Oreochromis niloticus: one gene and its partners. The protein of the gene in region 4 interacts with the protein of the main gene of each other region in a biochemical or structural test. Links are inferred from orthologs where the notes say so. Each region holds a gene or a part of one and is shown on either strand. Other genes may lie near its edges. The genes, in order: scn4ab, potassium voltage-gated channel subfamily A member 4, slc6a3 and snta1.

Region 1 (7,211 bases), on a different chromosome or scaffold from region 4:
AAAGCTGGTAGAGACATACCCTAAAAGACTGGCAGCTGTAATTGCAGCAAAAGGTGGTTCTACAAAGCATTGACTCAGGGGGCTGAATAATTACGCACACCCCACTTTGCAGTTATTTATTTGTAAAAAATGTTTGGAATCATGTATGATTTTCGTTCCACTTCTCACATGTACACCACTTTATATTGGTCTTTCACGTGGAATTCCAATCAAATTGATTCATATTTGTGGCTGTAATGTGACAAAATGTGGAAAAGTTCAATGGGGCCGAATACTTTTGCAAGCCACTGTAAAACAGGAAACACGAGACACACGCTGAGACACGGACTTGCCATAGGGACTGGGAAAGAACAGGCATGAGAACATACCTCACTGGGCGAGACACAAGCAACACAGGGAGACTAACTAAATCCAAGAACATTCAAAGCAAGACACACAAACACTGGGTTCCTTTTACCCATGACCATGCAACGCGTTCTCATCCCAACACGTAACATACCGACATGCGACAAATCGCCGGTATGCTACGCGTTCGCAGGCATGAGATCCAGATGGAATTAAACTATACATGTAAATGTCTTTTACATATTGATCATGAAGCCCTTTGGAAAACACATCTGACAGGGTTATGTGTTGGGAATGAGAATACTCTGGAGCATGACAGGCTCTTCTTTAGGCTGTCGTGGGTTTTCCTGGGGACCTAAATCTGGATTACACTTGGATAAATCTGTTGCATTCTTATTTACAAAGCCTGGGGCATTTATTGTTCAAAAGAATGTCGTGGTAGCAGACGAAACTCAAAAATTCCAAATCTGTCAGCAGGGATTTGGGCTTGTTGTGTCTACAATCATGCAGCAGATGTGATGAAATCTTTGGGACCTAATGTGAACATGTCACTCAGTGGGAGACAAAAGGAAGAATCTGTTTGGGCGTCACATGATGATGATTTATCATCTCAGGCAGCCAATCCAGGTTCTCTAGCTTTTCACTAAAAGGATTTTAATTTTCACCAATCACGAACATGGATGGCTGTAGAGTTAAGAACAATCTGTACTCCCAGACAAATCCAACTAAATGACAACATACCAGCATGGTGAGCAGGTTTATGAAATTGCAGAGTAGCATACACAACCGAGCAGCTCAGTAACTGATAGTCTCTCATATTCATACTCAACCAATAAAAACAAAGACCTCAAAACCTCTGGCAATGTGAGCTCTGAGAGAGCTTAAGTAATGGAGAGATCTGATTGGTCAATAAATGGTGGTTTTACATGTAGGATCTCTTGTCTTCAGCATAAGTGCCTGCTGACTTAACCTACCCAACACGGGCAGCAGCATAATTTATGTATAGAGTACAGGCCTGTGAGGTGAGGTTAGAAGCTGCTAGCACACGTGATTAAGCTGTCACACCTGTCGGTTCTGAAGCAAAGCACGTTTTAGCAACCGGATATGTGATCTTCAATTTAAATGAAATGTTTCCTGGTCAGAAGCTGCCACCTCATCTTATAGCAAACATAGCATCCTGATCTGACACTAATAGTGCTAATGTGACCAGCTCAACGCCATTTCCTGTGGCAGACTCTTAACCTTTTGGTGTGACCCTCCTCTGTTAGTGCTCAGCTTGGCTGCAACCACACAGAGCTATATTAGAAAGCAGCAGTAGTTGGTCCCAGCAGTTGTTAATATCTGATCCCTGATCAGCTTCTTCACTACAGTCAGCTGGCCTATAAATAATGTCTGCTGGCTTACCTTAAACTCTAAACCCAGTCAGTGCTCCGTCTTATAAAACCCAACCCTCTTTACAACTATTAAAGTCTGAGTCGCATTTAGCGTGGATAATGTAGCATAGTAATGCTAACCTCCATAATCACAAGGTGCTGCTGCAGTGTGAAACTCACTGATACACGAGATCAACGACACCATCTGCCAGAAAGATGTTAAAGAAGCAGCTCTGGTTTCTCAGACTTACACATTGGGCAGTAAATAAGAAGGTCCAGAAAAAAATCAGACTCCACGGTCTCTGCGTCAGACACTTCAGACGCTCCTGCTTGTTTAAACTGTGAACTAATGTCATCTTACGCTATCATTCCCTCAAGCATCTTTCTTGACACGTCATAAAACCATGGCAACAAGACAAATTTATTTTACCTTTTTATATTTCTAGCAGCAAAAGCATGAAGTGAAACAATCAGAGTTCATCCTCATAACTCGATCTTACAGACACTCAGGTAGCAAACACGCCAAACCTGCAAGCACAGCCCACTCAGCTGAACATTCCTGTGAGGCTTTAACACAAGTTTCAAGTAGAGAGGCTGGTCACTATAGAGGGAATTCAAAAGTCCAAACCTGCCTGGAAAGATTAAATGACTGATTCTCTGTGTTTTTGGTTTGTTTTTTTAACCACCATCTTTGCAAAAAAGAAGAGCAGTTTGATTAAAGTGAGTCTACTTTTGATTTACTTTGATATTTTGTTTCATTTAAGCTAAAAAGTGTCTGATGATGTGCAGATATGATGACAGAGGGTATCAGGTTAACAGCAACGCAACAGGTGTAAGACACACACACACACACACACACACACACACACACACTGTGTACTGAGAAGCAGGACAATAAGGAGGATCGGTTGTTTCAAAGTGAAAACTAAAGCATGAAATGTTGTTCTTACATTTAAATCAGAATCCAAAGCACTTTGAATCTTTGGTGAAAATTGTAACTTTAGACATTTTTAGGAAAAGTTATTCAGACTATCAGATGAAAATGTCTCTTTAATTATTACAAAAAACTGCTCCATAAACAAACGAAAGGTCAACAGAACCTATAAAATATAAAATATATAAAATCTATAAAATCTTATGTTTCACTTCACGTCTGAAAGCATAAAGTTCAGCCTCACCTGCTTCTGCTGTTTCTTCCACAATAAATCCAGTAAACATCGGTCACAGCACCATGCTGCCTGTCCGTATCTCTCTCTCTGTCTCACGTCTTCTGGCCTTGCCTTACTCTACGTCTCTTACTGAAACTTGAGAGGTCAGGTAGTGTGTCAGCACACACTCACACACACAAAGCCACATGTTCATCAGTTCCCATCAGAACTTTAGAAATTCCTTTCTGACAACATAAAATTATCAACCCCTCATTTAAAATAATAAAAGAGACATTTAGTAAGATCAACAGATTAATTGGTCAAAAATAGATTTGTTTTTAAAGCTGCATGATATATGGCATGTATTCCCATTTGAGACATGACAACCGAGGAGCTTAAATCTAAAATGTCTCTTGAAAGCAGAATCTCACCAAGGATAAGTTAGATTCAACGTAGTGCTAAGTTTTTATCACAACAGTCATAAAAAGGTTTTATGCAGCCATGAGAGGAATTGAAAGTCCTGCAGCAGCACAGAGTCTGGGTCACGTGATCACAAACTCATTTTAAATACATGCATAGAAATAAATGAAACTGTCCATACACTCAAAAAAATGAATGAGGTGGATTGTTCAGTGTATATTAATTGTTTATTTTCATTTTACTTAAAATATATTTTTTTGTTAAGTTAACATATGTTTTTCTAATCAAGTCTACGTAATTGTGTCTATTATTCACTGTACATAATACTAATGTGTTACTTGATGGCATAACATTTAAGTTAAGTCAATTAGGATCAATATACTTTGTATATCCACTAGGTGGCAGTAATGCAAAAACAGTTGTAATGAAACCGCGAAGAACAACAATGTTTCACGGCTTGGGCCTGCTCATTCGCAAGACTTCAAATTTAACTTAAAAACGTTGTTTTGGCGCCAAGCTGCTGTTTCTTTGAGAGGTAAGACCACTTTTTTCTTTGACTATGTTTTGTAGTATCTACATGTCGAGCATGGTTATATTTTGCGTTTGTCTTATAAGACATGTTATATCGTTTGCGTGCGCTTGTTCTACAGTGCGTGAATGGGTGAATGACTGAATGTAGTGTAAAGCGCTTTGGGGTCCTTAGGGACTGAGTAAAGCGCTATACAAATGCAGGCCATACATTAGTTTTACTGGGTCCTGGACATGCTTATTTTGTGGACTGTGTAAGAAACATTTTTATTGTTTTTGGTTTTTTTAAGGGATTAGCTACAGGGGTTCATGGGGTTATTTTTTCATTTACTTTCTTGGGATTCCTTTACTGTAATCCGAGAGTCATAAATATCGAATAGGATAGCAAGGATAGCATAAAGTGACATTTAAAATCCAAAAAGTCGAGGGCGAAAGCCACTGTGACACCATTGTTATGCTCTATCAGTAATTTGTATTATGTAAAAATGGTCTGTAAATACAGCATGTTTCCTAGCGGAGTTATACACATCAGCATAGTTATAAATTACAGTTTGTTAAATCACACACTTACTTTTTTAAATAAAATTATTCACAACATATGAGTGGGAAGACAATGGAAGTCGACAGACCTGGTGATAATTGCTTCTATAGAAAGTTAGAACATGGCAGTGTCAATCTCTTGCTTTTCTTCTGAGTAGTATTTTATTTAGTTGTAATACAATCAATAATTTGCTTCTTGAAATTAAGTAATGAATTTCTTGTTTTACTGTATAAATTTCAGATCCTGCCTTTACCTGATGTGGTGTATGTGGTACTGCTGAGCTTGTATGTGGTATGTGAACTGTTATACTTTTAAAAACAAAACTGTTTTATAAGTTAATTTTTCTTTAGTGACCCATCCCATGCCCCTGTTATTTCTTCTCCAGATCTGAACCATTGTAAAGGTTGCAGTTCAAGGGCCTGAGGTATGAAATTCTTTTCAGATCAGCTGTGATCAATATTTTTTGGAACTTGATAAATAACAATAAAAGCTGTGATGGCTCCATTAGCATTTTGTATAAATGTTTGTGTTAAAATTATAGCTTTAATGAGGTCTTTCTACATTAGTTAGGGTTAGGGGTTAGGATGAAAGTTTGGGCCCCTCCTCCAATTGGAGGCGGGCGGTGCACGGGCCATCCCTCGGTAAGGTGCCTGGACCCCGGATTGTCCACGGCGTCTGCCATAACGCACCAGGGTCCAGTCTGAAGTCCATCCAACCATGGTGAGTTGGATGGAGGCGTGTGCTTTTTAATTGGTTTTCCTACCAAAATTTAAATTAAATTTTTGACTTAAATTTGTAAGTTTTAACTTAAATTTTAAAGAAATAAGGGTTAGGGGGGTTAGGGTTAGGGATGTGGAATTGAGTCCGGTCCCTGAAGGGTCCAGACGGTGCTCTGTCCATCCCTCTGCCTCTGCCGCTTGTCCCCTGCTGGACACGTCTACGGGAAGGCAGCCGCCCTCTCCCGTGACGCACCACCGTCCAGCCCTCCGAGTCCATCCGGGACCCCATGTCTTGAATTTTTAATTTTTTGTTTTCTGTGTCTCTTGATGTCGCCTTTGTTATCTTTATTTAATAATTGTTTTGCTGTGCTATTTATGTCAGTTAGATATGAAAATGTGTATATGAATTTACAATCACAAACAAAGGCGAGAAAAAAGAAAAAACGTAAATGAAATTTGTGTTTTTAAATAAAAATAAAAAATAAATGAAATTAATAAAGTTTTTTAATTTTTAATAAGTGAAAATCAATGAATTACTGTGCCCACTGCCGCGACGTTTCGACCCAAGATAGGTCTTCCTCAGGCTGGGGCACAATGAATTTTAAGCTGGGAATGCACAGAGAGAGAGATGTTGTCTCTTCAACGGTCAGCTCCCAAATGAGCTCCTCTCTGCTGTGCAGCCTTTTATAGGCTTGGTTTCGTGTACGTGAGTTTTTGAATTTTGGATTTGGCAATGTGTTTTCAAATGTCTGTGATGGTTTTAGACTACAGTGAATGTGTGTTTTTTAACCTTTGTAATGAAATTGTATTTTATGAAATGTATTTTGTAAATTATGTCAATTTTTAAGAATTTTATGTTTTTGAAGTGATGTATATAAGATTTAGAAATTTGTAGTTGTATGTTTTAATCCAATTAGGTTTTTATGAATTTTTTAGGTTTTGCAGAGAAATATATTTATAATTTTAAACTTGAATGAGTATGTTTAGTCACCGAATTATGTTTTTATGATTTTGGGGTTTGTATATTTAAGCAATATTGTGTTTTTAAGGGTTTTAATAAAGTGTGTGATTTTAATGACTGTTGTTGTGTTTTAACTGTAAATTATGAAGTGATTAAAGGGGTCATAAATCAAATGTCATGTTTTTAATGGTTTTAATAAAGTTTTGATCCCCAATATGTCCCAATTCCCCATTTGTTGTTTGTTGTACATAATTTGTGATATGTAATAATACATTGTTGTTTATTGTAATCAAATATTTATTTATTTATTTATGTATTTAGAGGAATTAACCCCCCAAAAAATGGTTAGGATGAGAGTTTGGGCCCCTCCTCCAATTGGAGGCGGGCGGTGCACGGGCCATCCCTCGGTAAGGCGCCTGGACCCCGGATTGTCCACGGCGTCTGCCATAACACACCAGGGTCCAGTCTGAAGTCCATCCAACCATGGTGAGTTAGGGATTAGGAATTTGAGCTTTCGTTATTCCATATCTATGGTTAAAGTGCACTGGCAAACAGAGGTCCGTAGGTCTCCACCCCATTACTCCTGCATCCTCTGTACTATATGACTTTTGTTCTCTACCATATCTCTTAGTGGGTCTTTTAGTTGACTTTATTTCATTATATATTAGAAATATAAACACATTATATACTTCTTTTACCCCCGTTTCATCTGAAAAAAGAGGGGGGGAAAAAAAGAAATCTATTTTTTTATATTTAAATCCTATACCATCTCCCCTTCCTACAGAAAATCAGTTTACAGTGCTCTTATATACAGTGTGATTGTTAAGCAAATCATGCCTAGGGGGGAGGCAGTGACTAAATAGATTCCACAAACTATGTACATTCATATAATATGATTTATATTTCAACTATGCTTGTTATTAATCATCAAATTATTTACGATGATCTTACTGCTGTTTTTAATATCTATTTTCCCACAGGTGGCAAAATTATCGTCCTCTATTTAGAGGTCATGACCTTTAAAACCAGAATTCCTGTCATCTCAGGAGATATTATGGTTCAGGTTCTTATACTAAGGTAAGTTGAAATGGTTTTTTTTTTTTTTTTTTTTTTTTTTGGGAGAAACAGACCAATTTACAAGACCATTGCAATGTTATGTATATAAGTTGACCCCCA
Region 2 (7,426 bases), on a different chromosome or scaffold from region 4:
TTGCAGTTATTGGTTTTGCATATGACACTTGAACACAGCTTAAATGTTGTACAGCAGAAACATCAACTGGCCACATGAAGACTGGAAAAATGTGCGCCACATTCCTCCAGCGTCTACAGGGCTTTACGCACGCGCATTCACGCGTGGTTCTGTTGTCAAAGAAACACGGGAGTGTTTGAAAATAAAAGTGAGGGTGTCGTGCTCGGAATAAAAGTGTTTATCTCGAGATGGGACCTTGTTTAGTGGCATATATTTTCCATTAAAAACGTGACTGGAGCTGTTTTGATCATTACAAGGTTGTTTAAAAAAAAATCATTTTCACACACAAGCTGTGGGCCACATACCTTGGAAGACATCCACATCATGACGATCCTCCGAGCTCGCAGATAATCGCAGTCCTCTTGGGGGGGTGAGGCGGGGTGGGGGGGAAAGGAATTGTGCACGAAGTCCAGCAGACAGGAGAGAAAATTGCTCGCAAGCTCCCCTCCAATGAGTTTCCACGATGAGTCATTTTTGCTTTAACTTTCCATCTGCCTCCTTGTAAAGGGATATTGTCATTTTGAGGTGCTTTAAATGAAACTGGGGAAAACTGCTGTCACCGAGGTTCCAACAAGCATGTCCATACAAAACCTGGGGCGAGTCATTTCTCCAGCCATTTTATAAACTGATAATTCCTGTGCTTAGCTCTCGCAGTGGGTCAGCAATACAAGGCTTTTTTTTTTTTCTTTTGGCCTGTTGTGGAAAAACATAGTTGTGTAGGTGTCATAGAAATAACTGTAGCCCTGGTTTACTAAATGCTGTCTTATCAGTTAGCTTTTCTTTAATGTTAAATACTGGAACAGTTACAAAAGACTTATCCGTATTTTCGTTTCCAATTTTTTCTTTTTTCTTTACTTTTACTGGCAGCATATAAAGGGGATTATTAATATCCTTAGTCTGCTCTCTGTGAGGAAGTTGTTCAAACATTCTTTAGCGAAGTGGTCAGAGGATTACTAAATACGCGCCACTTTCATGGCCTACAGCTTCTGTCTCTGAATACAAATCTGCCAAAACCCAGCGCAAAAAAAAAAAAATCTACATTAGTGCAAACAGATTTTGAACTTTATTGCATAACAGCAAAAACGATCCCTATACCTCTCTGTTATTGACAGATGAAACTCATAAAGTGCGAATGCATAGCCTGTCTTCACTAGAATTTCAATTTGATGTCAGATTTGGAAGCCCGCACAGCTTAGATGAACAAATAGACTGGTGTGTGGTGAAGATGGTTTGGGGGAAAGGCTGCTGTTAGAGAAGTGCGCGATGGTTAAAAACAGGGGAAAGAGAGAGATGAAGCATAACAGCCTGCCAATCAGTGGCATGAACGTGTGTGTGTGTGTGTGAGTGTGAGTGTGTGTGTGTGTGTGTCTGAGGCGTGTTTCAAACTTGTGTTGGGGAAGTGTGAGCGGGAGGGGGTCACCTGCTGTTGGGCAGAAATGATGTTTAGAATTATCTTTATAGGGCGTGTTCTTCTTCTTCAGGAAAAATAATTAATAATAATAAACTCTAATTGTAATCACACGTCAGTCTGAATGGATTTTGAGTTAGTACTGTTTTTTCTGCTTATGTCTGTGCCGTTTCCTTTACTGGGGCTCTTGTCCAGCCCGCAAAGCGACTCCGTCACCCCCTCCTCCATTTCCATATACTCCGCTTTGTCGCCGAGCGAGGAGCCAGAGGGCGAGCCTTTGAATTTTCTTAGAAAGTCAGGGAAGTACGGGCAGCCCGGGGGCATGCTCTCCACCACCGGCGGCTGGTCCTCGTTATCGGTCTCCCTGTGATAAAAGTAGTTGAAGTTGGACACTATGACCGGCACCGGGAGCGCAATAGTTAACACGCCCGCGATCGCGCAGAGGGAGCCCACTATCTTCCCACCCACAGTGATGGGCTTCATGTCTCCGTAACCCACTGTGGTCATGGTCACTACGGCCCACCAGAACGCGTCCGGGATGCTCGTAAACTGCGAGGTGGGTTCATCCGCCTCAGCGAAGTACACCGCGCTGGAGAACAGGATGACACCTATGACCAGGAAGAAAATGAGGAGGGCCAGCTCCCTCATGCTGGCGCGCAGGGTGTGACCCAGGATCTGCAGCCCCTTAGAGTGCCTGGACAGCTTGAAGATGCGAAACACCCTGACGAGGCGGATTATTCTCAGGATGGCGAAACTCATCGCGTGCTGTCCGTTGCCCTGATGCTGCGCCAGGTCCGTGCCGAGAGTAATGAAATAAGGCAAAATGGAAACAATGTCTATGGAGTTCATAATGTTTTTAAAGAAGTAAGTTTTGCTCGGACTGGCAAAGAAGCGAACTATAATCTCAAACGAGAACCAGATGATGCAGACCGTTTCCACGACGAAAAACGGGTCGTTAAAAGGTGTAAATCCGTGATCGGGCTGAGAGGAGTTGTTTCGTGGCTGTAGATACTCTTTGTCATCCCTGAACTCCGGCAGCGTCTCCAGGCAGAAAATCACAATAGAAATGACAATAACAAGGACGGACACGACCGCGATCCCCCTGGCAGGGCTCGAGCTCTCCGGATACTCAAAGAGCAGCCAAATCTGGCGCTTGAACTCATCCTCCGGCAGAGGTTTCTCCTCCTCTTTGACGAAGCCCTCATCCTCCCGAAACTTTAGTATCGCCTCCTCCCCGAGTTCATAAAACTTGACCTCCTCGGAAAATATGTCAAATGGGACGTTGACTGGTCTTTTTAAGCGCCCGCCTGACTGGTAGTAGTAAAGAATGGCGTCAAAACTCGGTCGGTTCCGGTCGAAGAAGTATTCGTTCCTCAGCGGGTCGAAGTACCTGATCCTCTTGTCCGGATCTCCCAGGAGCGTGTCCGGGAACTGAGTGAGCGTCTTGAGCTGAGTTTCAAACTTCAGACCCGACACGTTGATGACAACTCTCTCGCAGCAGCCGCACTCGCTGTAAACGTTTTCATATCCGGACTGGGGCCGCCTGTCGGTGATCGACACGGTCTCCTCCTCATCATCCATGTTGCACAAAAAACTCGACCTTTTGCTCCCCCGGTCCCCCCCGCCCCCCTCCCCCCCTCCTCCTCTTCCTCGGCTCCTTCGGCCTCTTCCTCCTCTATCATGATGTCCTCCTCGGATCCGAGCAGAGCCAGCTCGGAGTGGCGCAGGTCCCCGCCGAGAGTGCCCCGGTTCCGTCTCCAGCGTCCGACGCCGCGCTGCTTTTTCCGCTCTCGCACAAATCTCTGCTGCTGCTCGGGCTCCTGCTGGTTCTGCTGCGAGGAGGAGGTGGAGGTGGTGGTGGTGGTGGTGGAGGTGAAGGAGGAGGAGGAGGGGCGCGAGGCGGTACCGCCGCTGCTGATGTTGGCGTTCGCGGAGGAGGCGGCGCGAGACTGATGCTGGCGGTTGTTAAGGAGATGAGCGCTCGAGGAGGTGTTGGAGGTGGACCCCCCGACGCCACCGCAGCTACCTCCTCCTCCTCCACCACCTCCCTCCGTGCACGTTCCACCTTCGGCAGCAGCCGCTGCGGCCGCCGCTCTGGTGTGGGCAACCTGGCGCTCCCTCTCGCGCTCCCTCTCCCGCGCGCGAGCCTGGGCATATCCGTAAGGCAGGTGGCTGTTGCACCCACCGTCCGCGCCCACCATGGCAAACTCCATTTTAAGTCAGTGAGCGCTTCGGTCCGCGGACGCTTACAGTAAGCGCTCGCGCGCTGTGATGTGGACGCAGACCAGAGGACAAAAGTTGCAGCTCAGCGCGCGCAGGGAGACAAAATGAGGCATGAAGCCTCTCGACCAATCAGTCGTGAATGCGAGAAAGTCAGAATAGCAAACACACCTCAAACGGGTCCATGCTGAGCGAATCCCATGTATCCTACTTACATGATACTGATTGCCATCTCTTCCAGTTTAGGTACAGCCCCCCCTTCCTCCGGTATTTCATGACATCATTACCATATCCAAAAAAAAGAAGAAGAAGAAAGAAGGAAAAAGATCAGATGTAAAGGCCGGTGGCATAGCCTGTTACGCAGACGCTCGGTCAAACTTGCAGCGCCCCTTATTTGCTCAGCATTGTAAATCACCAAGTCAACAAGCGACACCAAAACAGTCTCTCCTCTGTTTCTCCGGTGCCCATCAGGTGGTTAATTTCTCCGCGAGCCGGGTTTGCGCCCGAATGCGTCTTTTGATCCTCCCTGGTCACTCATGGTTGCCATTTTAGGATGAGTTTAAAAGAGAGAGAGAGAGGGGGAGAGATATCTCCGTTGTTATTTTACACAGCTCCGGTGAATCTGAATGACTTTATTCCTCTGACGCTCTCAGGAGCTGCGAGAACAAGAAGAGAGGAGAAAACAGCAGTTGGTTTAGGCAAATAAAAACAAAACCTTCATATCGATGTGTGTTGTTTTATCGAATACACAATCAAAATACATCATGCTTATTATCATCATCATTATTACTATGGAGTGAACACAAAGGGATATGGAAGACATTTATGGTTACAATACAATTTACGCATTAAAGTATCCTCCCTTTATTCTAACATCCATACTTACATCTGAAAGGGGGCCAAAACGACATCGCCTCAGTCCCCCTCCCCCGCCCCCCCTCTTCACAAACCAATCTGATGGAGGAAGCAGGGGAAGGAGAGGCTAGGTGAGGATGCAGTTGTTCACTCTCGCTCAAATCCCCGTTATGATTTTGGAGGGTAACGCCGCAAAATCCCTCGCTGTATCCACGCAGCGACCATATCCACATCCAGTACACACATCCGTGCTCTGACGCACTCTGGAGAGGACACTTTTTTTGGCTGCGTCTCGACGTCTTGTCTCAATTCAACAGGATCTATCGCCACTTCAGCCTCCGTTTCTGCTGCATCGCTTCTGGTTACGACGAGAGCAATAATGTTACCCCCTCCAGAGGAGAAAAAAAGAATGAGAAGAAGAGGAGGAAGTAGCAGGTGTGCGCGTAGCGAGTTGGCATCAATGACAGCTCCACACGAAGACAAGATACGAGGGTGGGTAAAAGTTTACCTTCGCACGGGCGAGGGGGGATGGCTTCATGGTTTAAGTCTGAGCATCGCACATCTGTCTGTCTGCCGCCGTATCCCTACCTATACTCCTGGATCCCTCCCATTGTGTGTGTCTGTGTGCGTGTGTGTGTCTGTGTGATGATGGAGAGTCTCGGTGAGAAAGTCGCTCGTGTACCGCAGCTCGTGCAGGCGGTGCTCGGTCCTCCCCCAGTGGATGCAGCCGGTCACTGCGCACCGTGCTGCAGTCTTTCACCCGAGCTTCATCTGCCCTTCATGGTCACTGCTGGGTAGCAACCGGTGTGTTTGTGTGTCCCCACCATAAAAAAAGTAATACATTAACCTAACATTTTAACTATTCATTTTGCAGTCACCAACCACTTTCCTACAAATTAATCGGTGTTTTTGTTGTTGTTTATTTTCTCATATTAAATCAGAAAATGCATACATCACTTATTTACATACGTCCATATATTGTAACTAAAAAAAAGTGTGAATTTAAAGCACTGGAAATACTTTTCATACAATTTCACTTCACCTAACAATCGTTTAACATTATTTTTTGTTAATATTATCACAGGAAAAAAGGTTAGCTCATGCAACAACAAAAAATGTTCACAGAGGCCACAAAAACAAATAATTCATGTTCGCTGTGCCCGCCCTCCCTCTGATATTTGATTAGGAGAGCACTCGAAACAGAATGCAAAGTGTTCATTAACCTCCTCTGACCCAGCGATTCATTCTTGTCCTCTGTTGGGGGGACACGAGTCTGAGACCTCCACGAGCACAATTCATGCAATCTATTTGAGTCTTACTCAAATTTACTGTCAAGGAGACATCTCAGGGTTTCAAGTTTCCACATGGGCTTTCTTTTCAAAATGACCATTTCTCATATAATTTTTTACTAAATTTGCAAGAATTTCAAGCAAACTTTTTTCATTTGGTCATTATGGGGTATCATGTGTAGAATTTTGAGGTGAGAAATGAATTGAACCCATTTGGGAATAAGGCTGTAACATGACAAACTGTGGAAAATGCAAAGAACTGTGAATACTGTCCATTACACAGTCAGTGTTCTGTGTAGTGGACAGGAGGACTTACTCATTCCTGTTTTCAACCCATATCCACACTTCAAGGAGCAAAGGAAGGATTGAGGCGGAAAGGACTTTACTCAGAATTGTAGAAGGGGAGTCAGACTTCGTGCTGTCCGGTGATGAGGTGGAGGAGGACCAGACAGAGCAGGAAGGTGAACGCTCAGTGGAGGACATGCCAGCCCTTGGACCCTGAGCAGGGGATAAAGTGAGGGCACCCACCATGCCATTATGATTAAGAAGCAATGTGTAACACATGGCTGTGAAGTTTTTTGGGGGGGTTTGTGACGCACACACACATAAATGTAGAGCACATAATCAGTTAAAATTATGGGTTAGTACAATTTCAGGTTAGGGCTTTGCTGTATTTGGTTAAACCTTCACACACATAGATGGGTTAAACAGGTTATTTACTCTGTTGATTTTTATGTTTAATAACATCCATCCATTGCTTATCCTTTTCAGGGTCGTGGGGGGTGCTGGAGCCTATCCCAGCTGTCATAGGGCGAGAGGCGGGGTACACTGGACTGGTCGCCAGTCTGTCTCAATGCTAACACACAGAGACAGACTGGCAACCTGTCCCACATTCACACCTATGGACAATTTAGATTGACCAATTAACCTATCCCCACTAACTGCATGTCTTTGGTCTGCGGGAAGAAGCCGGGGTACCCGGGGAGAACCCACACAAACACGGGGAGACCATGCAAACTCCGCACAGAAAGACCCCGGCCTGATGGTGGGATTGAACTCAGGACCTTCTTGCTGTGCAGCAACAGTGCGTGTCACCGTGCTGCCCATTATTTAATAACATGTAAGGCTAAAGACCATGAAACCGTACCTCTTCTTTTTTTGTTTGAAACTGATTTTAACATGAAACATGAAAACAGGAGTGCGCACACCCTGGAGGCCCTCTGATTACATCAAACAGTAAATAGGTGTTCATTCATGGCATGATGCCTTCAGGACTCAGATATACTGGGTCCCATTTATAGCCAGTTAAATAAGTCAAGACAGATTCTTTAAGATTAGGCAGTCGTTCAAAGTAAGAAATGATCTTGATGTTTTACTTCCTCCTGAGGCCCAAACAAGAAATTGTTTTGATACTGAGATTTTTAACCACTGTGGTTGAAAGAAACACATTACAACAAATTGTTGTTTTCAAAATAATTTATTTATTAATTTATCATTTGTCGCTTTGATGGACTGCCTACTTTTGATGAATCTGTCTCGACTTATTGAATTCACTATAACTAGGGACCAGTACATTTGCATCCTATGTTATCTGACTCATGCCATCAACATGGAT
Region 3 (7,592 bases), on a different chromosome or scaffold from region 4:
TGTGAGTGCCAGCAGAACCTGATGTTCCGGGGAGGATAAACAATGCCTGTCGCTGCTCAGCTCAGAGACAAGCAGACAAAAGAGACTGGCATGTGGACAGGCAGGCATGTGGGCAGACAAGCAGACAGAAAGACACGTAGAGATTAAAGGGAGAATGTTAGCAGACAGACAGCCATGTAGGCAGATGGACATACAGAAAAATGCAACTCGTCCCATGATACATTTCTTATATTCCTAAGAGGGTGTGCGAATATCCTTGAGTGTTTGCATATGTGAGTAAGTGTCTGTCACATTTGATTTTACCTTCACACATTTTCCTACCTTTAAATATGGGACATATCTTCCAGACTCCTGCTGCCCCCTCTCTGTTATACTGACCCAGAGCCAGCTCCATGTAGAAGAGAGGCATGCCTGCTATCACCATGAAAAACAGGTACGGCACCAGAAATGCACCTACACACACACACACACACACACACACACACACACACACACACACACACACACACACACACACACACACACACACACACACACACACACACACACACACAGACACACACACACAATTTTAAAAATAAATACATTTATTTACTTATGTCTTGCAGACATGTTCACACCTGTAAATGTCAACGCAGATTATGAAAATGTAGTATTTAGTATTTTAAAATTTTTCTTTCCACGTTAAACTGCCACTGTATGATTGACAGGTTCCTTTTACCCTCTTTACTCCAATAATTGACTATTCTCATAAAATGAAAACACAATTTTCAAAAGAGGGGGCTCATATATAAAAGTGTAGTTTGTCTTTGAAGATAAAGTTTATGCCTCTGACAGAACATTTGTCATATTTCCTTACATACATATTAGACTTAGCGACGTGAAAGGCTGTGTGTTAGCCTTGACCATAGCTGCAGTATCATTTACAGCTCTTAAACATAATGAGAGCTCTATGTTAAACAGCCATAATTAGTGACACTGATTGTTAGAGCTAATCTATTCAGAACAGCTGTGGTGGTTTTTCCCCTATTTTGATCTCTGTAAAGGGTTGAAATAAGACGAAAACAGCGGCCATCATACACACAGATCTGAAGCACACACAAATATGTGCATGTAGTACATGCATGCATAAAGTACTCTAGCCTGTAACTAATTCCTCCTTTTCTCCCCCTTCTTCTCTCTCTGTTTCATTAGTTTTCTTATTTGCCTTTGCTTTCAACATAGTCACCATGTTTATGCCCTCCTACCCCTCTCAATGTGGCAGACTAATCCCCCGGACTGGGGCAAAAAAAAAGAAAGAAAGAAAGGAAAAAAAAACACAGCTTCCTCACGTCAGTCTCTTCATCAGTCTCACCTCCTCCATTTTTGTAGCAGAGATAAGGGAACCTCCAGACATTTGCCAGATCCACAGCAAATCCGATCACCGACAGGAGGAAGTCAATTTTCTTTCCCCAGGTCTCCCTCTCTTCCTCCCCACTGGGGTTAGTCTGAGTCGGAGTTGGAGTCACTAAGGTGGTCGATGTGAACTGAACCCCATTTTGTTCCTTTACAAGTATCAGCTCCACCTGAAGGGTCACCAAGTTTAAAATCAACCATGCATAACACAGAATGGAATATTACAAACACCTTAAAACATGTTATTCATGGTGATGTATTAGAAAATGTACTGTAAAATACTATTATTTGTACTATTTTTACCATTTTTGTCATTCTTTAAAAAAAAGCATCATATTTTATAATACTAATCTTTACACTGCACTTACCAGGCATTCATGTTATGCACTACCAGTTAGGGTTTTTTGTTTTTTTTAAATGTCTTTTCCACTATATAGTTTAGTACAATACAAAGACTGACAAAGATAAGAGAGCAAATGCAGTCATTTCATAAACTGAGACCTTTGCACAGTAACAGCACTGCGTGTCTTAGATGTGTACCGACCTCTTTTGGACCCATCGTGTTGGAGGTGGGTTTTTCTGGGGCTACAACTGAGGACATCACGGTGTAAAATGGTAATAGGTGAAATCTCGGTAGGTAAAGCTGACGAGTCTTGAGCACAAAATAAGACAGAAAAAAAGGAAGGTTTTTTTTATATTCCGTTTGTGAAGAATAAGGTTTTTGATGCAAGTATAAAAATCATCAAAAGGATCACTGGGATGAAAATTAAGGATTAAGAACAATATAATGAGACGCTTTTAAACACTGAAACTGTAGCATAAATATATATTTTTTTACAAAATTTAAATGCGGCATAAGAAAGAGAGAGAAAACACAACTGAGAGTGATTTGATTCAGACTGAGGGTAACAAGAAGGGATGGGGGAGCATGTCTACAAGGTCATCACAGCATGCTCATTTTATTTCACAAGTGCTTACAACCATTTTACTTGCAGAATGGCCTAGTATGGATGCACGCTATCTACCAACATGTTGTACTCCAGATTTAATTTTGGTTAAAAATTATTTCACAAAAATACTTTTTATGTGAAATAAAACACAATATTAGGCCCAAAATTGCCATTTTCATTTTTTTCTTTTTGTTTTTTTGTTTTTGTCTAAATCTTTTCAAAAGGATCAAATTATTGTAAATAAAATGCAAAAAATCCAAAATTTTTTTTTTTTTTACTAACAACATAGGATAAAACTTAATGCTATTAATACAGGGAAATACGGAGTTACAAAGCACAAAACATTTTAAACTACAAAATGAAATTCTTACCTTTTAGAAATAATAGCTGAACCCCGATGTCAGTTTGGATTTAATTCCAGTGCTGATGTTCTTTAGTGTGCTGTAAACTGATGCTGATCATATTTACGCAGACCCTCCTTGATAAGTTAGACTCAAAGCAAGAGACAAACAGAAGGCGGGAAAAGCTTTTTAAGATTAAGAGGAAAATATTAGATATAATTAAGAGAGAAAAAAATGAGGAACTGGCAATCTATGAGTTATAGAAAGCCCTCCCACCCTCCTTGGCTCCACTGACAGACACACAGAGCCCCGAGCACCCTGTGGGTTTGTATGGCGATCTGTCTGCGGGACCACTCTTGAAATATGAGAAACAATCAACGACACCCCCCCATCACCGTCACTCTCCTCCCTCCCTCCTCGTTCAAGCTTCATGTCTTCCTCCTCCTCTCTCACCCATCATATATCCATGTAAGTGTGAGGGGGGTAAAAAGCAAATACAATATTGCAACACTTATTCCCAGATGCATGCACCTTCAGCATCGTTATCATCCTCTTGATTCAGATACATTATAGCTGTATAACATAAGCACCTAATCTTTTCTGGCCCAAGGATAAGACAGCAGTGAGAGCTTAAAGCTTAAAGATTTATAAAATAAAGTACAATAAAAACATTTTAAAACATAAATAAATTAAAATATATAATTTTATTAATTACATTGAAAAGCCTTAATTTTGCATCTAACCTACAGCTGTATTGGTAAATGGACTGATTCTTATATAGCACTTTCCTGCTCTCCCAGAGAACTCAAAGCACTTAATACAACATGCCACATTCACCAGTTCACACTTTCTTTTATTCTTTCTATCCACTATTCACACCTTCATACTTCAATGGATGCATAGTTAGTATCTTGCCCAAGGATATTTGGAGACTGAAGGAAACAGGGATCAAACCACCAACCTTCCAATCAGTAGATGACCTGCTCTACCTCCTGAGCTACAGCCACCCTTTATATATGGTAGAGTGGTTGTGGTTAAAGCTGTTCATAGACTTTCCTGGTTTTATGTTCAGGGAACTCACCTTTAACAGCAATACAGTTGGCAGCAATTCATTGCAATCTCAATACCCAAGGGTGATAGAAGAAAGAGGGTGGGAGAAAAATAAGAAAACTATACAGCTCCTTCAACCTCCAAAATAAAACTATTCAGTTCATCTGAAATTAATTTGTAGTGGGTCTGAGGCATTATCACCATTATATGATTTGAATAAGCTGCCATAACAATAACAATTTTAACATATAATTAGTAAAAATGTATTTTAATTTGTCTTAAAAAATGTCTAAAAAACAAAAATAAATACGCAAAAAGGTTGGCTTGGCCGAATCAGCATGGGCACAGAATACCATTATGCAACGAACTGCAATGATTCAGTCTCTCAAAAATAAAATCTCTAACTTGGTTTCACCTGATATTCAAACTAGCTTATAACAATACCTGTGTCGTGGAGTAGCTAGCATTAGCGAAAACCCTCAAAAGAAATAAAACACTGGGAGCAGCAGCAAGAAAAGACAACCGTATATAATAATAATATGCATCAAACCCTATCCCACTTGAAATCAGTGTCAGTAGCACAAAGAACAACACACACACGCAAACAAAATACTAATTGAAATAAATGAAACTTTGGTTTGGGGCTTAATAGTAAGAAGCGGAGTTAGAAGTAAGGTGTTTTGGGAGGTTTTAAGAATTTTGTCTCTTATGTGTAAAACCCAGGGTAAACATCAAAGGTCTTTCTTAGTTGACCCCCCCTCTTCTACCTTTAAAAAGATCTCAGTGACCAAGTGACACACTGTGTCCAAGCAAAAATGTCATTACCTGTAATGTTCAACAGGCAAAACAGAATCAGCACTGACACTTAGACCCCTTCCATTTCAGATTTAACCACAGCAGGACCAGGGCATTGAATAACCCAATCAGCCTGCTCCCCTTGGACAGCCGTATGACTCATGTTTAGAATGGCAACTTGTTGTTTGCAAGCCAATCATGGTGATCAATTGTCCACCAACCCCAGCTCAACTGACACAATACACAACGCACACACCTTTAAAGTGCAATCATCCTTCAAGCCTCGTATCAGAAGTTGTTGGGTCGATGTAAGCCGTGCTGGAATTATGAGGTTTCCGACAGAGCTTGGACAACGATGAGTTGAACATAATCGAGTGTCTTGTTTTCATAAATGCAACAGCTGAGACCCAGAGAAGAAGGGTCCTGAGGAGGAGGAGGGGAGCAAGCAGGAGCAGAAGCTAGGCAAGGGTGAGGAAAGAATGGCAGACGAGGAAATGAAAGGCAATGCAAAAGGAAAAAAAAATGAGAAAAATGTTAAAATGAGAAGACTATACAGTATTACTAGCTGGTAACTACTACAACCTGAAGCTGTCCTTTTCATTCCAATGAGTTTTCTACTTTGAATAAGCAGTTAGATCTAGATGATGATTTGAGAGGGTTAGTAGAAGCACAAGTCCGCTTTTCTCCTTGTGAGCGCCGTCTGCTTGATCATGAAAGGAGGGAAAAAAGCAATACAGGAGAAGGAATGAGGACAAATTCTTAACCCATTGAGTCATGAGCATAAGCACTGATTTTAGACAATAAGAACATTCCTCCCCTCCACAGACTAACCTATTTAACCTCCTGAGCATCACAGTGGGGACTCCCGAAAGTCTAATTCAATAATAAATTATTTTTGAAACAGTTTTTTTACTCACTTGTGTTCTCTAATTGGGAAAATGCCATTAGCACTTTTCAGTTACATACAAAGCCTCTGGTAACTACAAAGTAACAATAATAAGTCTTACATACAGTTATTGAGCAATTGATTTCAACTGACTGAAGAGTCTACAGCCATGGTAATTGCTCAGGCAGTACATACACACTGAGGTTTTGTACTAAATGTTTATGCAAGCATGGTAGCATATTGTTGCTGGATGTTTTACACAATGGCAGAGTTTGAGAATTGCTTAGTATGTAGAGTTCTGTAGTTGAAACGGGGAACTTGATACATTAACACTAGAGGTCACACTATAGAGGCCTCCAAGTAACAACAGTGCATGGAAAATAAATTTAATTCATTGAATTACACACTCCTGGAACTAAAGGAAGTCAAGGGACGACCAGTATTGTTACCATTCATCCCCTGTGAACTTTGAATGTCTGTATGTAACCCATTATGTACATGTATAGTGTGTTACATGTACATAATTTATGACAAAACATTTCACTGTGGTTCAAAGTGGTGGAATTGGGTGAACAGAACAGACTGGTCACCTCTCTATAGACATTAAAGTATGTCTGACAAAAAAGTGAGGTGGAGGGAAATTAAATGGCTGAATATACTTGTGTAAATCATTTCATAAACATGACCTCAACTTACTGTAAGTCACATAATTTGCTAGATATTTAACTTAAATTTTACCATTATGGATTTCTCCTACCCCAGTCTCCGTCATGCAGCCTACTACACAGCTCAACATACTGGACTTGACTTTAAAAAAGAAAAAAGAAAAAAAGAAACACCGCATTTTCTCTGTGTTGCCTCAAGAGGGAGGCATTTATGCAATAACAGGTCAAGAAAATCGATGACTGTAGAACATGTGGCCTAACTACCTTTCTATCACCCTTATAATTCACGGTTATAGATGTAAGCCATACATGGAAGATTAAAACAATCTAAAAATTGATGCTGCAATTACACTTTTCTCAATATCTTTAACATGCAGTAAAGCTAAATTCATAATTACAAATAGAATTTTTTCACAGCAAAGGCTTTCTTGCACTGATGTAGAAGTCATTGCACCCCAACCTCACATAATAAAACCTATGTTACAGGATGACCCAATAACACTGTGACAGAGACAGGAGGAGTGTTGATGCTTCTTTAATTCCATCGGCGAGTCACATTAACAAGTTATATCATAGCAGTCCTGAACAAATTCAAAACTCTCAATCATCAAAATGCATTAACAAAATAAAAACAAAAACTTGTTCAGAAAGAAGTCTGAAGTAAAGCTACAGGAGAAAAGTAGTTTAGTTTCATGGTCCATATACAGTGAGCCATCAGAAAGATAATATCACTCTTTCAGAGTACACAAGTCTTTCGTCTTAGGCTCACTGTTGGATAAACTGTTTAAGCAGGCAGTAATAGCATACAAGTTCTCTCATAGGTTTACATTTTCTCAGACTGATACAAAGTCAGGGGGAAAAAAAAAAAAAAAAAAAAAACTGCCTCTACTGAGGTACCTGAAATGAAAATATGTGAGTGGAGGGAGACAAAAAAGTCACGAAAGGAAATTGAAATAGTATTTTCATATAGCCCCAATGCAGAATTGTTCTGAATATAAATACTGACTATATAAAAAGCACATCTTTGACTTGAATACATATCATAGTACATCATCTTCCTCTGACCGTCCAGTGGAGCTTTCCATTTAAAGTAAAACTGCAGGAGGGGTTCATGTGGCTCAATAAATCGCATTCTCTGTCAGGTGCTGAAATATTGATTTTCTGTTTCAGCCGTAATTCAAAATAAGATTCCCCATTTATATACAAAAACAGTATGGTTTCAAACATACAGAGTGAACTGTTAACTGTGCATTAGAAAAATCACATCACTAAGAAGTAGATTTAATACTTATCCATTTCACGGTGCAAACAGGTTTAAGTCATTCAAATCTTTACACTGATGCCAAGTCCTAGAAGTTCACAAATTCAATTTCAGGCTACAAAATTTCCACAATCCTGAGATGAAGCAGAAAAGTAGGGCTAAAAAGGGAAAAGGGGGGGGGGCTTTCTTTGTGATCTATACTTTTCTCTGTGCTCCCTTTACTGTAACAAATACATGAGGAAAAAAAAG
Region 4 (8,151 bases):
CCATAGGGACTATTAAAACAATGTCTGGGATGGTTTAAAAGTGAAATAATTGTTTCATGGCACTGTTCACCAACTGCCTTCTCTCAAAGTAGCAATCCCTCTGACTGTCATTGTGGTTATATGCACAGACCGTGCACCTCAGTGGCTCCGAAGAAGGAAAAATGTCTGCAGAGACACGCAAACTTTTACCATTCGGCCTGTCCAGAGACCTGGAGTCTAGATTCCATGCCTCCCCTCTTAAATTTAGACATGTGAGTTAAAGTTGCCTCCGTACTCTTCCTCAAGCTGGGGTGGGCTCCCTAAAATTAACACTAGTGGAGTACTCCACTCCCAGCCACATAGCTTTCATCTTTAGCCAATGACAACTGACTGCTGTGAGCTGCTTCTCTCAGCTGTTCGCAATGCGGTGTCAACTAGCATACAAGTTTTTCTCTGTTCTTTCATTTGTTTCCCGCTGCGTTTCTGACACTTTTTTCTTCCTGCTTCTTTTTTCTTTTTACTCTTTTGACCTCTTTGACCTCTTGTCCCATATACCATTTCTTGTTTGGCCTGCTCTTTCTGCCTGCACCTTTCACTTTCAATCTTGTACACCCTTCCTCCCAAAACTGCCTCTGAACATCCAGCATCACAACAATGTCAAGCCAAAAGGCTTCTAGCTATGATTTGGTTTTAATAACATGCTGTCTGATTTTCAAACCCACCCATTTCCACAGATGGACATCACAATTATGTCATTAGGGCTTGGCTTTGTTTTGTCGTTGGTGGGAATTGCGGGGGGGGGGGGGACTAAAAATTAAGATGTCACCAGCAGCTACAATGATGAGCCATCTTTGCAACATGACAATAATGCAAGTTTACAATTATCTATCAAATCGACACTGTGCATCAACCAATCGCCAAGTGATTACCTGGGAAGACAAACTTGCCAGGAGGAAACTACAGCTCACACACATGCAATTATACCCACACATGCTGCTTATAGATCCATGCCTGTTATTTATTACACCTTTTACTGCCTTGGCAGTCCATGCTTTACAACACAAGGTGACTTAGGGTTGTGAACTGACAATAATTCATTGATATGATACATGTCATCACACAGGGGTTATGATTAAAAATATAATGAGATTTATTGAGACTGTGCAAGAAACCTAATTAGATTTTTATTTTTATATGTAATTCTAGGAAAACTCTTCCAGTACATATTTACAACCCACCAGGAAAATCTGAATTTAAAAAGCTGACTTTTTAGGCGAGAATTGTGGGGTCTGCATTTGCATTTATCACAACCCAAGCAAAATAAGAAACACAGTATAAAATACATCAGTCTGCAACAAATCTTTCTGTGTCAGTTGTTTATTAAAAATTCAAACAGTGTTTATTTAAGTTGCACAACAGAATCATAAGTTCACCACAATAACCTCAAGCAATTCTAGTTAAAGCCAAGGAGGCGGAACCCCACTGTGTGTGGCAAGAATATGAAAATGACCATATTCTAGATTCAATTATAAAGACAATATAAAGACACAAAGCAAGCTGTGTAAAAAGAAAAAGTGTAAATCTATCAGTCACTACTAAATTTCAAGAACAAAAGCTGTGATATTTGTCCGTCTATAAAATATAATAAAATCCAAAACATTCCTAAAACTTTGTTATCACATTCCTGTCCGTTTTATCTTTTATATTTACATAGCACCACTGCTCAACCTTCCTAGTCATCTTCAGTTTGAGATCCCCACAGAGATAGGCTATTTTCGTGGAAGCAGGACAAGGAAAAGTCTTTTATCAGCTGCTGCAAAACACACGGCAGGTATGCAGGCTTGGCTGGTAAGATATGGAGAGATTACAACCTTTCTTCATTGAGAAGTCCCTGTAGAAACAATATTCTTGTGGCCACTATGTGTAGTAGAGGTCTCTGTGTCCATGTCTACTCCCGTTTGCTCATTCAAAGGCAAAGTTCAACAGCCAAAAAGGTCTTTGAACCACCTAAAATACTCTGTAGAGCCGGGATTTAACTCTGTCACATATTTTTATTGGTGTTACAGCTTCATAATCAGAAGTTAGATCTAATAAAACTAATAATGTTGGTTGATAACGCATAATATTCAGGTTTAAAACCTGCTTTGTTTGGTGTCTGTAGTCCATAAATAAATATGTTTAAATGAACTGCTGGTGTCGACACTGCTGGGTAATAAGCATCTACGGAAAGTATTCGGGGATTTGTGGAAACTTTTTAAAACCCAAATCGAGTTAAACAGAATCACGTGCCATTTCCTGATTTCTCTGAATTCAGTTATCTAAATTATTTAAACTAGTGTTTATTTTTTGTGTTTGTTTGGGGGCACACGGTGGAACCCAACGTTACATGACAGTAGCGAACTAATTACCGTCTCCGGTGACTGTGGTGCACTGAAATGGTTCCCTGTTGAGCAGAGAAACAGCTTGAGAAAATCACAGCTGTCGTTTTTCTGCGCTAACATCGGACCTAAACGTGTGAGTTATAACACGAACGGATATTTGTCATAGAGCAAATCGCGGAAAAGTTGCATTTTACGCACGTTTCTGAGAATTGTTGCACATTTTTGAAGTTAGCCAAGTTAACTGGCCGCTGTTTTCGTGGTCGGTGACAGAAGGTACGCTGTAGTCAAAACTTGTGTTAACTGACAGTAACTCGCCGTTCATGCAGTTAGCTATCTTTAAGATACTTTCGTAAACTACCTTACCTTTGATACTGATTCCGAGCCCGCCAACATCTTGCTTGGTAACTCGCACCGTGCGCTTCACGTTGGTGATGGTTTCCGGGACCGGGGACGAGCTGAGGTTCGGGGGGTCTCCGTTAATAGCACCAGCGGGACTCGGGTTTGGCTTCGCGGGTTCTTCGGTGCCCTCACCGGGGTTTAACGTGAGACTATCTTCGGTAAGTGTAGCCAGTACCCGGATCCAGCGGTCCACGGTCACTCGAAGTTCCAGCAGTCCCGTTTTCTGCGCCTTCGTCGCGGCAGCCATGTTCAACGCATTCCTGGAATAACTCTAGACGGGCTGGCAGTCCTGTAAGAGGGGGTAGAGGGCTGTGGTAGGGGGCATGCAGACACACACATTGAGCCCCCCTCCCTCCCTCCCTCCCTCTATTTTCTCCTCCTCCAAAAGAGGTTTATCCAGTAGTAGGCTAAGTAAAGTTAATCGAGGGCGATGCGATTAGCAACGGTGTTGACACACACTCAAAGTTCAAAGAGCTTCTTGTTCAGCCCATCCGTTAATCACCAATGTGAGGTTGAGTCACGCATAATTAAGTTTTGATTCATTCATTTATTTATTTATTTATTTCGAGTGTATTTCAACACCCAGCCTCACATCACAGATCTCATTTCCAGTGTGCCCAAAACGCGCAAAATCACTGCGCATATATATATATGTATATATGCATAAGTTCTGCAATAAGGAAAACAACATCGACATGCTTTCAAGGCCAGAAATGCATTTTTAGTGAAGAGAGCTTATATCGGGAATGACACCCACTAAGCATCTTCGGCTTGAATTCTGCTGACAGAAAACAGTGGGTGTGATGTTACCATGAAGAAGCCTGCACGTTAATCAGAACAATGATATTTATTGGCTTTTATTCAAAATGGGTTTCAGGACAACAGGCACTGAAAGAGGCCATAAATGCCCATCAGTACCATGACACTGATGCCCTGTTGCAGCAGCTGGGGCATAGTTAAAGCTGATCAGTATCCAATAAAATGTTGTTAAAAGCAGACACGTGACCAATATGATGTTGTACAAAGCATGATTACCCCAAAGCTCTTCTCCAGTAGGTACCAAATGAGGTGTTTGAGCATCGCAAAGGATGAATCAATGCTGGATACAGACCAAGACCAAACGACCTCATCTCCCAGACTGGGAATTCCATGGCAGTGAAGAAATGGGCTTAAAAAATACGTGAAAAATTTGTTGTTTGTGTTTGAAAATTTCAGCAGATAGAAGGTAGAATCGTGGTTTAGATTAGTAAACTGATTCCACCGGGGCTACTGCCAAAAATGCAAACTCATGGTGTTTCCATTAAAAACCAAAAACACAGTCCTGCGTATGCTGAAGATTAGTGCCAGTAAGTGGAATTTCAGTTCTTTTCATTCTTACCCCAAGTTACAATTATATTCAGTCCAGAATTTTCCAGTTTAAATTTCCAGTTCAAACTAAATTATTCTTCATTTTTATTTTATTTCCTTCCTTATTTCTTCAGTTCAAACTGTTAAGCAGTTCTTTCAATTTCTGTTGCAATTTGCAGAAATCTGCTACTCTGGCTATCACTTTTTTCATTTAGTAGTCAGTCGTAAATATTTAATGAAAAATGTGAAAAAAAAACATGCAATAACTATTTTGAATTATTTCCTAATATGCCATGATTTCAGGAGTAATAAGCCAAGCCGTTCAGTCTCGGTCTTGACAGAAACTCAACATGGATAAGTACTGCACTGTTGTGGTGACTCAGCAGAGGTGCACTTAATTGTGCAGCATAGACATTAAGATCATGCAGGAGTCACTGAAACAAGCTGATGAAGCAGTCCTCATTTCCTATGCTCTGTTGCATCGGCAAGGTATCTGTCAGCCCTTCAGCTGTGTGTGTGGCAGCCTGTGTTGCATCTGCTTCACAGCAGGTGAAATAGCAAAGAAGTCCCAGCACTCAGGGTTGGAAAACACTCTTCTGGGTGGGCTGTTGAGAGGCAGTTGCTCCCTTAATGAAAACAAGTTTGGAGCTTTGACTGAAAATTGCTCTAAACCCATTCAGATGCTCTAAATATGCTCATCTGTCAACAACATTTCTTTATCATTCTAAAGTAGCTAATCAACTCAAATATCAACGCTTACTTTATTCTAATTGGTTCATGTTTACTGTAGTGAATATTGATGTAACAACTTTATTTCTAACAACTTGTTTTTTAAGTCATAGACCATGGATCAGCTTCACACTAAATATTCAACAGGGAATTCCAAAGCCTAGATTCAAATCTTTTGTCTCCCTCTAGTGATTAAAGGGCTCTATTACCTCTACACTGGAAAACATTTGACTAGTACCTAATCTGTTTAAATAACAAAGATTTCCTACATGTCATATACAGTACTTTAAAAAAAAATCTAGGAACATCTTTTGATTGTTATGTGATGAGGTTTTCACTGTGATAGAAATAAGTAAACAGTAAAAACAGCTGAATTAAGAGAAACTATTTCTGACTTTTTGCTAGTCTTGTTAAAGAAAAAACATTTTGCAGTTATAAAGTATAGGCCATATGTATAAGGTTAAAATGCAATTACTGTGTCATTAACTGATATTAAACAACCACAGCCTGTCCCAGGATTACATACCCTTTGATTATTTAGCTCATATCCAACCATATGTCTATTAGTATTCATGGATTTGTAGGCACATGGTACTCAAAGAGCAAAAAAAAGAAGAGATTTTGACAATATAAACAAATATTGGACCCCAGCTGTGCAGCCCAATCACAAGTATTATTTGGACATTTCAGTTGCCCAGGGTGACACTTTAAAGTAAAGACAAAGGGTTTACTTGGAAATACTAAAGATACAATAATTATACTGTTTATCAACATACAAGATGGAGCTTGTTTTTATTGGCATAGTGACCATTAATATTATATAGATGTGATGGGGAACACAGTCTTGCAGTTAAAAATGTGGATTTTCAAATTTAAAGTGAAGTCAGATGATTCCTGTGCTTCCAAATAAGTGATACAAACTCAGCTTTCACATCAACCCTGTTGTTTTCAGCAACAGCAAGCAACTGTTTTAAAATAAAAAAGACACAACTATGATGAAACCACTCTGTGGCAAGTGTACAATGTGAACATATTAGTATCGGAGCTTGTTGTAGCCAAGCGGCAGTGTCCTGTTCTGTTCAACCTACCGGCGCACAAAAGAACAGCACCTGTAGCTCACCTGTCAGAGTGTGTACCCCATGTAGAAAAGTCTACCCTCAGCTCAGAGGCCTGGGTTTGGTTCTGTTCCAGCTCATGTGTGCAGGGTATGTAAGACTGTCATCCCAATCTTCCTGTTCTAGAAGGCGGAAAAACCCCAAAACAATAAACATGTCGCCTAAAGGAAATGGCTATTCAGTTTCTCCAGTAAGTATATTTTAAACCTGTTTTTCAATATCTAAAATTAGCAGCCCATTCAAAATCACAATGAATTACAGATCCACCTGCCTAACCAAACTAGTTGGTGCTGGCATTAGCTAAAAATTACCCACCTTTGAGCTCTTGTCTAAAAGTGTTGTTTCCTTGTTTGCATTTTTTGTTGTTGTTGTTTTTAAACAACCCAAGGTCCCTAAATGATATAGTCCACCAACAGCTGGGTACCCATCTTTTATATACAGCCAGTGTGGTTTGAGGTTCAGTTACCATTGCTACATTTAACATAATTAATGAAACAAATGATTTATGTGAAGTTTATTGTCACATTTTCTCATTCCACCCATAAACCTTATCCTCCTTTGTCCACACTTTTGTTTAGAAAAGGATACTTCCTTGTACTAATTAGCACATGTATAGAAGCACACATATAAATAGCACAGCAAAAATGAATGGGAGACTTCAACAACAGTGCTTGACTTAAGAAGTGGGTCTACATGGTGATGTTTAGCATTATGACAAGTGTTTGACCATCTGACCCCCAGTCTATGCATCTGTTGGTCTATTTGGGATGTGAGTGGCAGGAGGCCAGCCTTTCTTTCACAGTAGCACAGCTTAATATATTTGCAAAGCTTAGCTGAATGGAAGAGCAGGATTTGTAAGGATCTCTCACACACAAAACACAAAACTGGTTGCATTGTTTGGAGTGGATCTAGTCATATATAGTATTGAAACTGTGCACATTAAAGTAGTGACTTGTTTGCAAGTGTGCTTGCATTTACAGTAGTGTAGGATGACATCATATTTCACCATTGTCCTTGCAGGATTTAACCAATACTGAGCACCGTCAAATTACACTAGAGCTTAAGTCAGCAAGAAGTCAAGGACCTGAAATTAAATCTGTTTTCTGTAGTGTACAGGAAAAACAACCAAAATGGTGAATGATGATTTGCACTAACAGAGTGCGTTGCATGAATATATGTCATTGCTGATCAACCTAATAGCAGTGCAGTTATATTGGGCTTGCATGTAAAAATCAAGAATGATCGAATAAAGGATATAAAATACAAGATTTTCATTTAAATATTAAAAAACCTTATTTAAATGCTTAAAATGACTATATGATACATTAAAAAACAAAAGTTGACCATGTATTTAATTTTATCTTCGCTAACATAATTTAATAAAAAAGAACTATTATATAAATATATATGACTAAATGTAAGTTGAATAAAAGTTTAACATGTTAACAATCTATAAACATCATTTCTGTCTAAGTCAAGGCAGACTGGTTTTCTGCTATGCTGAAGACAACTCACATGACCCTATAGCACTTCTCAACAACATCAGACTACTATTGTATCTCTTGTTGTTGTTTAAGTAATAAGAAAATACTTTTGAATAATAATGACAACAAAGTAAAAACACAATTTGTATATACAGAACACATGTGAAAATTGCTAGATCATTATTTTTATCTATTATTTTTTATATATTTCAATTTGATAATTGCTTAAAACACTAGAATATGTATTGTATTTATGTTAAATAAATGAAATCAAATTAAGAACTTAAAGCATTATTTCCACATAACTTATAACCCCTAAAGGGGGTACTCTGCCTCTTACCCAACGCCAGCTGGGACAGAATGCAGCCCCCTTCCCATGTCCATAGTTGGATAAACGGTTAAGAAAATGAATGGATGGATGTACACACACTCAAACAGACAAACAGACTACAACCCCCCAACTTATCTTCTCTACACCCTTAGTTCAGTCAGTCACATATATGCATATCTCAACTCCCCAAAGACAGTGGACAGTTGGGGAGCCCTACTGATTAGTTTCAACGTCCCCCTGCATCCTTCTGCCTTCTCCTGCCATCCTCCAAGCATCTTTGCTTCCCTCCCCTACTCTGCTAAGGGCAACAGCTCCAGAGGTCTACCATATGGACTAGTGTCTGAGCGGCTGACAGCCTGCCTCCCTGCAGCTTGCATGTGTGTGTT

Evidence for each region.
Region 1: the proteins of snta1 (region 4) and scn4ab interact in a test that uses a peptide from one of them, tested with the Homo sapiens proteins (2 studies listed by BioGRID and IntAct). The link is inferred for Oreochromis niloticus from reciprocal best matches to the Homo sapiens genes SNTA1 and SCN4A.
Region 2: the proteins of snta1 (region 4) and potassium voltage-gated channel subfamily A member 4 interact in a test that uses a peptide from one of them, tested with the Homo sapiens proteins (2 studies listed by BioGRID and IntAct). The link is inferred for Oreochromis niloticus from reciprocal best matches to the Homo sapiens genes SNTA1 and KCNA4.
Region 3: the proteins of snta1 (region 4) and slc6a3 interact in a test that uses a peptide from one of them, tested with the Homo sapiens proteins (2 studies listed by BioGRID and IntAct). The link is inferred for Oreochromis niloticus from reciprocal best matches to the Homo sapiens genes SNTA1 and SLC6A3.

Annotation. Positions count from the first base shown.
Region 1 is NC_031969.2:35,485,902-35,493,112, forward strand, and holds the start of scn4ab (sodium channel protein type 4 subunit alpha B), read right to left. Parts: upstream 3,042-7,211; 5' UTR 2,897-3,041; intron 1-2,896. UniProt on the Homo sapiens protein: Pore-forming subunit of Nav1.4, a voltage-gated sodium (Nav) channel that directly mediates the depolarizing phase of action potentials in excitable membranes.
Region 2 is NC_031965.2:10,259,831-10,267,256, reverse strand, and holds the start of potassium voltage-gated channel subfamily A member 4, read right to left. Parts: upstream 3,066-7,426; 5' UTR 3,029-3,065; coding exon 1,556-3,028; 3' UTR 345-1,555; intron 1-344. UniProt on the Homo sapiens protein: Voltage-gated potassium channel that mediates transmembrane potassium transport in excitable membranes. Forms tetrameric potassium-selective channels through which potassium ions pass in accordance with their electrochemical gradient.
Region 3 is NC_031976.2:9,279,125-9,286,716, forward strand, and holds the start of slc6a3 (sodium-dependent dopamine transporter), read right to left. Parts: upstream 3,032-7,592; 5' UTR 2,717-3,031; intron 2,048-2,716; 5' UTR 1,997-2,047; coding exon 1,940-1,996; intron 1,566-1,939; coding exon 1,355-1,565; intron 454-1,354; coding exon 322-453; intron 1-321. UniProt on the Homo sapiens protein: Mediates sodium- and chloride-dependent transport of dopamine. Also mediates sodium- and chloride-dependent transport of norepinephrine (also known as noradrenaline). Regulator of light-dependent retinal hyaloid vessel regression, downstream of OPN5 signaling.
Region 4 is NC_031970.2:7,142,666-7,150,816, forward strand, and holds the start of snta1 (alpha-1-syntrophin), read right to left. Parts: upstream 3,116-8,151; 5' UTR 3,007-3,115; coding exon 2,724-3,006; intron 1-2,723. UniProt on the Homo sapiens protein: Adapter protein that binds to and probably organizes the subcellular localization of a variety of membrane proteins. May link various receptors to the actin cytoskeleton and the extracellular matrix via the dystrophin glycoprotein complex.